3 linked regions of the Drosophila melanogaster genome follow. The protein of the gene in region 3 interacts with the protein of the main gene of each other region in a pairwise test. Each region holds a gene or a part of one and is shown on either strand. Other genes may lie near its edges.

The links.
Region 1: the proteins of CG5217 (region 3) and CG17580 interact in a two-hybrid assay, tested with the Drosophila melanogaster proteins (one large-scale study listed by BioGRID).
Region 2: the proteins of CG5217 (region 3) and CG43732 interact in a two-hybrid assay, tested with the Drosophila melanogaster proteins (one large-scale study listed by BioGRID).

The regions. Positions count from the first base shown.
Region 1 is NT_033778.4:12,804,648-12,808,383, forward strand, and holds CG17580 (uncharacterized protein), read left to right. Parts: upstream 1-1,966; 5' UTR 1,967-2,050; coding exon 2,051-2,272; 3' UTR 2,273-2,387; intron 2,388-2,442; 3' UTR 2,443-2,582; intron 2,583-2,639; 3' UTR 2,640-3,164; downstream 3,165-3,736.
Region 2 is NT_033777.3:18,948,502-18,952,257, reverse strand, and holds the start of CG43732 (uncharacterized protein), read right to left. Parts: upstream 2,063-3,756; 5' UTR 1,655-2,062; intron 1-1,654.
Region 3 is NT_033777.3:19,246,437-19,249,861, forward strand, and holds CG5217 (uncharacterized protein), read right to left. Parts: upstream 1,701-3,425; 5' UTR 1,592-1,700; coding exon 1,354-1,591; intron 1,243-1,353; coding exon 833-1,242; 3' UTR 616-832; downstream 1-615.

The sequences.
Region 1 (3,736 bases), on a different chromosome or scaffold from region 3:
ATTTGTTTCAAAGAATAACTATGTATGCCACAGGCCACACACACTAACCTGCTCGCATTTTCTCACACCCTTTGAATCCTTCTTAATCTCCAGTCGGAGAGCAAACAAAAAGCAAAAGCAATCTTTCCTTTGTGCCACGTCTCGAAAGTCTGAAGAGATCCTTGCCAGCACAGCCTATTTGCTGCTGTTTGCTCCTTTTGAGGACCTTTGCTTTTTCGAGGGTAAACGCTGCAGTGCCAGAGGTGGAGAACTTTGCAAGACTGAATAAAAGTCGGCCTAAAGTCTTATTGTTTTCTGGTTTTTATCTGAAAGCTGCTGCTGCTGCTGCCTCAGCTCTGTCATTCGAGGTCCTGTGAAGTTGGCGATTATTGTTGCAAACTTAGTTGACAACTTGCCTGCTCGTCCTGCCATCTGCACCGCCCACTTATCGCCACCACCGCCCACCCCAAGGCCATGCAGATGATGGGCCGCCAAGCGTAATAAGGCCGAAGCCCAGGGAAAGAGGAAGTCTAGTGAAAATAAACAGTCGGACAGCCAAGTTGGGCATAGTTGAGCTTCTCGGCATCTCAGCTTCGCAGTCTTGCAGTTTCCCAGTTTCCCACTCTCACAGTTTTTCAGTTTCCCAGTTCATAGTTTGCCTGTTGTCTCCCCATTGTCCTGGCCATTCTTTATTTTTCAGTCCTTCCACTCCGGCTCTATATTATTATTATGTCTTGGCCCGGACTGCACAAAGTTTTGCCATTCTCTAACGACTTTGAATTTTTAATAATACCCCGCTGGAGCTTAACAATTTTGCCATCGTTCGGTTGTAGCGGCTAAGCTTTGTTACCAATTTAATGCATTTCTTGGTTGACGGAAATTGAATATCCGTTAAGATATATTAACAATTTATGCCGCCCTGATTGCCGACCCCCAATGCGGGTGCGGAATGAGGAGATCTATGCCTTTTTTGCAGTAAAATTGAAAACGAAACGAAACGGAACCAAAGCACACAGATACTATACACGAACGAACGGTAGCTGTGGCAAGAGAGCAGTCATCATCAGGGCCATAATGAGCAAGTCAATAGCCGGGCGGGCCAGCAGCAAAGGGAAAAGTCGAGGGGAAAGCCAGGCAATCGATGACGGAGCAAGGAAAATGCCGGCTGCCAGCAGTCATGCAGCGACGTGCGATAAAAAGCAGATTGCAATTTGTTTTACTGATTTCCATGCTTTTGGCTTTATTTGCACGACGGAAACTTTCATTAACATCAAACAGAAACTGAAATTGAAGCAGTAATGGCATCGCCAGCACTCCAAAGGATACAGCCACGGGGAAAAGCTGGAAAAGCCGATCGAAATGCACTTAAATCATGGCAAGAATGAGATCTACGGCATGCTTAAGTGGCATTATATGTACATACATATGCGCATATACGAGAATGCCATTATTAAGTTGCATCCTTCATTTGCTCAATTTGGCCAGTTGACCAGCTGGCCATTTAATTGATACGGCAAAAGGTCAGGGTGATGGTAGACCCACTTGACACCTCACCAAATTCCAGAATTCTTTGGGCAAACATTTGAGCAACATAAATGCACAAGTCCTACCAACCAATTAGTTGGCAAATAATGGAGAGAAATGACTTTTCATCTCTCGACCGCAAACAAAGTCCTTTTGTATTCCACCCAGGACCTCCTGTTCTGAAATTTATGCACGGACTTGGGCCTGCAAGGATCTCGAGGAGTGGCGGACGACTCTTGTTTTGTGTTCCAAGTAATTTGAACAAATTTGCGAGACATTTTGTGGCCTCCGAGCAAATATTTCAGGCCAATGCTAACCACCCCATCATCATCATCATGGCTTGGGCAGGCCTTTTGCGGACAAAGGCCAATTAACTTAAATAATTAGCCAGAAGTTTTCGCCATCGGAGATGAATCTCAGCCTACGAGATGCTCAAGTAATTTCAATAAAATGTTATCATTCGGTTGCTGTCGAGTTGCCAGGGAAAATCCAATCAATTATCGCCCAAGGGAAGCAAATTCGTACAGAAAGTTAAAGGCCCAGGGAAATGGGAAACAAGCTGCGCCGCCAACCACAAAGAGTTGAAGTTGACGAGGAGGAGGTGAGATCCGACCGACCCCAGAAGAAGCCACCATCGTCATGGCCCTTCTGGCGCCTGGTCTACTGGCTGGGAGTCCTCATCATGGTCATCGGCATCGGTGTGGGCATGTACTTCACCCTCAAGTCGGACTTCGGTGAGTGCTCCTCCTACGACGTCCGTTGCGATTGAGTGCTCCTGGCGATATAGAAACTTCCACGGAAATGGCGGAATTCATTACCCATTGAACTTCAACTAATTTGAAGCAGCTTGGCCTGCGAAAGCAATTGTTCTACATTTAGCGAGAGTAAGTATGCCAGCAGATATTAAAGAAAACTATTTAAAATTATTTCCCAAATTAGATTTAATTAAAACTTATACACCAGTTATGTTTTCTTGTCGAAACATCAGTTTGATCTTTTTACTTTTTATCATCGCAGTCTACATTTGCCTGTTTGTTTTATATATACTCCACAGAGTTGGTGAAGATAATTAATATTGGGTTTGTAATATTATTTTTCATTTGCCTTGCAGTATAAACCAGCTTATCTTTTCGCAGATTCATATGTAAAGTTATTCATTTGTCTGTTCTCCTGTTTGAATTGTGATATGCTAAGCTTGGTTATATCACTATCAACTTACGTGCAGTCCAATACTTGTCATACATGAATTCTAGCAGCTGGATCTTAATTAAAGCCGGATGAAACAACCCACCCCACACTAGACCGCCTCCTTTATTGTTAACAATTACAAAAGCAAGGCCGAAGCCGCGCAATCTCCAGCAACACATGCAGATACATTTGTGCATGTAGACGTGTGTATTTGTGATGCTATTCAAACTTATTGGAGCGCTTCCTTTTGATGGCGTTCTGGTTGACTCTTCAATGGCGAAACACTTTTTAGTTGAATGAAGCTAGTGAATGCACATATTTTGGGTTGCATATAAAAAATCCTACGATTATTCACTGGCCCTATTTATTTTGGTGTTAATTAACGAAGTGGAGAATGGCATTCATTGATAAAAGTGTACAACGATTTTTATTTCACATATTTATGCTATTGCTGTAATTAAAATAACAATTTGAATTAAAACTCTAATTTTAATAAATAAACTAAAATTGCACACTTATGACGACACATTTTATTTAAATTACCAGCTTAGGAAGTTGATTGCTTCTACTAAACGAGACAAAAGTTATTTATTTCGGTGCGTTGGGGGTTTATCTTAAAACGACTTCTTATGAGAGGGGCCATCAGTCAAGGTCAAGCTTAACAAAGATTTGTCGGCAATTCGAGCTTTTATTTCTTTGACACTTGCCAGACTTCTTTCGTTCGCACACAGCAGGTGAAATATAAATAAACTTTTTAATGAACTTTAAGATTTATTGCCAGCAGCAGCCGCAGCAAGTCAAGTCTGACACTTTGTGGCTTTAAATTTTCGGACGGGAATGTGCTGTTTAGATAAATTATACAGCACAATATATCCCGAAGGCACTGGCTGGCTGACTGAATATTTTGAATGTGAAGAGCACCCTGCCCTGAACTAAATATTCTGCAAATAATTGCACTCGACATCGACTGAATAGACCTAGCCCACAAATAATATCTTAATGCTTGCTCTGTATTTTACGAGCTTCCACCCATTAGACGCACACA
Region 2 (3,756 bases), 300 kb from region 3:
TTTGGCACGTTTCAATTTCGCAGCGATTGCCGAACTGCATGCAAATTGCAACTGAATCCCACTTTTTTTTTGTACGTTTACTACTTTGCATATGGCAAAGAAACTGGGAAAGCACTTTCATCTGATGATCGACTGTATGGATAGACATCGGAGTGAGAAATAGTCAATTACGAAAATGATTTTCGTGAGTAATTATTAAATAAGCTGCAATTTCAGGTAGGCAGGCTGACTATAAACCATCGCTTATAGTGAAACGTGAGCGGAATTTAAAAAGGAAAGTAATTTACAAAATGTTTACAAATATATTGAGTATTGGTTAGAATAATTGGTTGCCGTTATTAGCATGTTTATAATAAGCGTGAACGAAAATAACGATTTTTAAACAAAATCGTTTCGTTGAAAATCAAAGTATAAATCTCTTGAAAAATATTGCATTCAATTCAATTAATCTTTTGCTGAAAGTGTAAACGGAAAAACACGTCTTCTGCTAGTAAAACTACAATTTTATTTCGCAGATCATTTCCCTTTTTTTTCGGATCAAACAAGAGTATATTCAGATCTAAAAAATGAATTGGAAGATGAGCAATGCGTTTACTCCTGCCTCAAATCGAAGCTGTCACTTGTCAGTGGCACGCGTTGCAGGAACGGAAATCGGAAAGTTCGCCCGGACTTTGGCTGTGACTCCAATTAAGCAGCTGGCGAACAGGTGAAACAGGTGAGACCCAGCAGAAGTTGTCATAACTGCCGTGGACACATTTCCATCGCCATCACCATCGTCCCTTTTTCTTCTGTCTTTTCCGCATTTATCCAGACTTATTGCTGCATTGCAAACAATACGAGGGCCATGTTGTAAATCCCCCAACAATTGTCTGCCTCCAGTTCGTTTTGTAACCTTTCGTTGCCCAGATTGCCCTCTCCTGTTTAAGGACGTTCCAAGAAAAAGCAGCCAGGGTTACCGATTAGGAATGTATGGCCATTGTGCATGTGAACTAATAACGCATTTGTATGTTTGCTTTTGAAAATGGCGAGTTAGCTTGAACGTGAACTCATCCGAAGGAACATTCGCTCAATGCAAATAAAACCCAATTTTGCTGAAATGAGCATTTTTTTTTTTTTTTTTGGTGAATCGTATGGGCATGTGGACCGATTCCAAGAATCAATTTACATGGCCATTCTCGTTTGGTCAAAGGAATAGGTGTCATAGGTTGATATTAAATGGAAATGCAGCATTGTAAGTGTGGCAATAAATAATTCAATACACAGCACGGAGTGACTTTCATTTTAGTTGTTATACAAGTGAATTCCATTTAATAATTTCATTCGTGATAAATGATTAAGGTATTCTTATTTGGAATTGTTTGCCAAAAAACATTTGCATTTAAAATTGTATACGCGCACAAAAGAGGCATAACTTAAATATTGCAGTGGTTTTGCTGACTTTCAAACATCATTGTTTAATTTTAAGCGAGTATGATGTTTAAATGTCTTTAATCCTACCAAGTGATTCTGCAAAATACCTCCCAGCCTTTTGCCCCGATTGATCACCATAAATAGCCCACTCCACAATCTTATAAATGCCGAATATCTCAATTGTGCACCATAGCCAAGGCAATTTCAAAAGAATATGTAATTCGGTTTCCATTTGAATATTTACGTCTCGCTGCCGAGGGCTTTCTCAATTGATTTGTAATTCACTTTTGTGTCGAACAATTCCGCGTTGAGCTCTCCGTTTGCCAGGCCAGGGTTTTTCTTATCGCCGGGATTGGTTTGGCCGGATTTTGGATTTTGGATTTTGACACCGAAACGGAATGCTTAAGCAAACATTAAAATGCAAACGCACAGGACGAAGCGATAAGGCGGAAAGAACAAGAGACCTTAATCGGTGGTCAAAAGCGGGAAAAGTGCGCGCGTTGCTGGGAAAACTGATTCGAGGCTCCTGTCACACGATGCGATTAATGACGCGTTCAAAAGCTGGTGGCAAGCGGAATCCGGAGCTGAATTGAGCTGGCTGAAAAGCGCGTTGCGAGTGTGTGTGCCGCACGGCCGACTGAAATCGACTGACTACGCTCGGCTGCTGCCACGGCATTTAAGGCAGAGAGTGAAGTCGGAAAATGCGAGGAAAATTCGGAGGAAAAGCGAGAGAGCACGCCGCGATGACATCAAGTGAAAGCTCTGCCATTTGAATCGAGAGACGGCTGTTAGTCCAACGCCAATATAGTACGGCAGCGAAATAAATCAAATTGAATCTATGATTTCGTTTTTGTGCACTTCTTTTTTCTACTTCAGGACCCCAGGACTCCTTGGCGCAGCCTCCTCCTCCTCCGCCTCCTTCTCGAGTGGATCCTTCAAGTTGTTTGCCACCGGATTTCATTTGGCTGCGGCTCAATGAGCCGTCGATTCTGTTTGTTCGAGTGGCCGACGAGCGCTTTAATCGCCCATCCAAAGCCAAAACCAAAGCCGCCACTCGAGACAGCTGGCAGGTGGCAGATTTCAGGTGAAACCCGAAGGTTTCCAGGTGCCAGGCCATCAGGTGGTGCCAAAGCTGACAGGTGAGAATCTTGTTTAACTTCGGCTTCTGCTCATTATGCTCCTCCCGTTTTGGTCCGACTTGGCCGTTTGTGCGGATAATTGCCGCCTTCAATTTAAATTGCCAACGAGCTTGGCGCACCTAATTTTCGATTTCATTTAATTTGGCGCAAATCTCATTAGGGCAAAAACGTCGCCCAAGATAAATGGCAGTGTGTTCTTTTGTTTTTTTTTCTTGCTCTTCGTCCGAGGCATCGAATCGCAGATACTTTGACCTGTGCCTGGGGCACTGGCGTCTTTGACTTTCCCTGCTCCGTCCGGCATGCCAAGTCAGCGATTTATTTGGGCCAAACAATGGCGGGATAACCCAGCAAACATTCACTGGCCAACTGATAAGCGCCAATCTCTTGGCAAATGATAACACCGTTGGCCTGGCAGCGCAGGCGCGAGCTTTTCCACAAGAGAGAGATAACGATGGAGAGAGTGGAAAAGCCAGAGAGCTCTGCCAACTGATAAGAAAGCAGCAGACTTATGCTGCCTCTGCATCTGCGGCTTCAATTGTCTTTAATCGCTGCTCAAATGTCGATGATGTCCTGGGAAGTGTTCTGTGGGATGGGTTGGAAAATTGGAGAGCGGTTACCCCGGGGAGGAACTTTAACGAATTGTCATTGATTTCTTTTGAAATGGCACCGCTTTTGTTTGCCTTCGCTTCTGCCACATTAGGCAGCTGAGCAGGGGGGGGATTCTGCTCCTCTAACTCTGATTACTGCAGCTCTGCCTATCGGGGGCAATGATCACAGATTGAATTTGCTCCGGCGGCAGCCGGTCTTAAATAATTATGAGCGCGTTTAATTAATAAGTTTGCCAAGGCAGCAACAAAGACCTCGAAAAGGGTTCTTCCAGAAATATGCTGTTATTGTTTTTGCGGCCGGGAAGCAATTAAGACCGCCTAGCGCATTGTCTTCTCGGCCTCAGCCCCGTTTGACCCCAACTTTGTTATAAATTTGCCTTTGTGCGTGCTCTGAAAAATGACCAGCCCCTCAAATGTAGAAAAAAATAAATATATATATATAAAAACTGTCACACAAAGAGTTTGAAAAACCGAAAATGAAAAAGAGATAACTCAGATCCGAAAGGGGCAGGGACTGGGGTGCCGGAGCGGATTGCTTCCTTCCTGCCGGGGGACGCTCACTTTTGCCGGTCATTAAATTTTTTTCCATTGCCTTTGGC
Region 3 (3,425 bases):
ATCTCGCATTTGCCGCACTCACCGGTCGGCTTTCAACAAGTGCTTGTTTTGGTCTAGCCAATGTAAATATTTACTATTTTCAGTCGGGTCCGGAGTTTGCGCAGATTGTGCTCAATGTTGGTAAACATCGCCCAGCTGTTTATCCTGATATGCAACTGGTGTGTTTCAGATTTTCCAAAGTACTGACACGAGATAAGAAAACTACTCATTCTTGAGATATATCTATATCTACCTCTTTGGAACTGAGCCAAGAAATTTGCACTGGTATACTGATACTGAAATAAAGTTTAAAATAAAACTTTCTGCACCCTTATTCCTTAATAGCACACCTTCCAACAATTAAATACTCATTACGTGATTTAGTTAGCCAACTTTTGGGGGTGGCTCATCTTTAGGGCTTCCCTCGAAAGTGAAAACCTCAAATAATTCTCGGGCTTGTCTGGCTCATGCGGCACCTTTTAACCCCACTGTTTGCAACGCAAAACATGAAACTCGTTTAGGTAATCAAAACCCCCCAGTGAAGACGTTTTAACAACCGATTTAACTGAACTCTGTGACCCCTTAGACGAACAAAAACGGATGGATTTACCACAAAGGATGACATGACAACATACTGGGGTCTTGTATGTGTTTATTTCGTGAGCTCGGAATTATCATTTGTGGAATCAAAGCGAAAATGTTTGTTCTTGTATGTATGTCAGTTAGCAGGGATGTGTTTGAAGAGTATATATTGTGTAAGGTTGAATCAGCTCCCTAACTGATTTCTAAACCTTTGCCTCGAGATCGGTAGAGATACTAGACATCGGGTTTGATTAGTGTTAGTTGAAGACGGCTAAATGGAAGCCGCATTCTCGTGATCATTGGTAGACAGCTGGCCGCCCTCTAAGGCACTGACAATCTCCTGACCGGATGCCTTGCTGGCAACACTTTTGTTGGGCTTCGGGTTGGGTGGCTCCGGATCTGTGCCACGTTCCATTTCATCGTGCTCATCCTTGACTGTCGGCTGAGGATCGGTATCGGGATCTTGGCTTACTGGTTGCAGTTCATGGACTTCTTCAGACTCGTTATCCTCTTTATTGGCATTGGTCTGCCCTAAAGCTGCGTTTTGGCGCTGGCTCTTCTGCCGGTTGAACAGTATCTTCCAGTAGGATGAAATGGATGTCTTAATCGTGGGCTTTGCATTCGGCAACGGCTTATCCTGCTCCACGGGTTCGACCACCGAGCTCGAAGGATCTTGAACATCTGGCAAGTGGGGTTTATGATTATTCAAGAAGAGCTCCTTTTAATTGTAAGTCATTAGGCAATCATTTTTTTTTCAACAAATCATATTTAATACCAGTCAAAAGAGCTTACCCTTATTGGCTCCCTTCATCCGGGTAAAGAAGCGACTTATAGTGTTTGACTTTCCCAGGTCCTTGTTGTCCTGGGAGGATGTCTCGTCGTCATCCTCCACTTGGTCGCGCATCATTGGCTTCTTGCTGATCTTAAAGAAGCGCTTCAAGGAATTGGACTTTGGAGCGGGGGCCACCTCGGGACCTTCCACAGACAGGCCCTCGGGGTCGGCAAGCGGAATATCTTGCAGACTGGACATCTTCGTCCAATATGTCCACCGAAATTTTATCGAATTTTATTTACAATAAAATATGGCTCGGTTTTGTACGAAATATAAGATTAATGTGACTGGTGTTGTTGAATTGAACACCAGATGCAAAGTGTCAGAAAATCCAGAGTCAACTAGTTCTTGTCACCTTTTATGAAAAGTAGAATTCAGTTAAGTGAGTTTAAAAAGGATTTTACAGCCTTATAAGTTTGAGATTGGTACTTTACATATATATTGTAATTTTAACAACTCATGTAGATAAAAACAATATCAATTTCGATTTCTGCTGCCACGTTTTTTTGCATTTTCCTTGGCAATTTGGCTACGTTTGGTTAACATGTGTTAACAACGACATCGAAACAGGTTTCAAATTGATACGACTTTGATTTCATTTTCTCCCGCAATCGAACTGTTTCCCGGCCAGGACAAAGCCAAACTGGACTGAAGCCTGCAGCCCCAGAAAAAAGAGCTGAAATGAAAGCCAAAGGCAATTCATTCAATACGTGCACACAATACCCCTTGTTATGCTACTGCTGCTGCTGCCCCATTGTCTCAAATGTTCGAACTTCGAAGTCCGTCGTCCGTTGTCCGCCGTCCGCTGTCCAGTTAGTGCTGCAGTGTTCCGTTTCTGAGATGGGGCCCACCAACAAAGTGCTTTCGCAAAATCAATTGAAGAGCTGGTGGCGATTCCTGCTGTCGACACTGCGCCATCCCTACGTCTCTGGCCCGATCCCTTTCCGTGGTCCTGGTCCTGGAATCGAGGTCCGTTAATTTATGTAGTTATGTATTGCCGGTTGGTTGGCCAGGATACCCGAAACAATGGACAATTGCTGCGGCACTTGCAGCATGCTATTGTCTGGCGAAGGTGTTGAAATTCTGAAAAACAGATATACATTATCGTACCAATTTGAAAGCCATTAAAATTCATCAATTACTTACTATAAGAGTGCAATACCGTGCATCAGAAGAAGACCAACGAATGGTGAATGAAAACAACGTTTAAAACATTATACATGTATCTTGTTTAACGGTAGTAGATACTTCATATGTTTGCCCTTTAATTTGGCAGTTTTCATAACCCTTGAAGTGATTGCTCGTGTCCTTCATTTATTTATGTCCAACCCCCGATCTTTGATAAAAAGTTAATGAAAAAACCCCACGCCGCCAACAACAAAGGGACATCAATAAATCATCAGTAATAAAAGTATAAGGGAAATGAACAAGGATAATGCAAGGCAATCCTTTTGCCCGCCGCCAACAGCTGCTCACCCACTCCGCTGAAAAGTGTGAAAATGTCAGCGGCGACGGGGAGCTAACCCCAACTGCACCACCTCCCCCTCCGGCTATTATGCTCGCCCATTTGTAGAGTGGGCGCCATATAATGGCCAAAACGGAAATGTTGTTTGCAGCCAATTCATTGCCAACACACAGTTGCGAAACGGCAAATAACAAACAACAAACAGCATAAACACCCCCTGCAGGCTTACGCAGGAGCAACACCATCGCGCTGGATGGGAGTTGGTGGCGGCGCAGGGATCCAACTGTGGTGCAGTGTTGCGGTGGGGCAGTGGGAACAATGGCATCAGCAGCGGCAGAAACAGCAGAAGCTGCAACTGCAGACCGCAAAATGTGTTGCCACAACCCTCGGGGCAAACGAAGCTGGAGCAGGAGCCGCATCTCTTGGACCGGAGTTGTAGATGGAAACTCATAAGTTGGTCGTCTGGCAGACAAATCCTCGGAGCAAGTGCATTCATTCATTGGCAATAACAATCAAACTGCTGTTGGCAGTACACAATCCCTTTCCCTGCCCATCTCTGGATGCCAT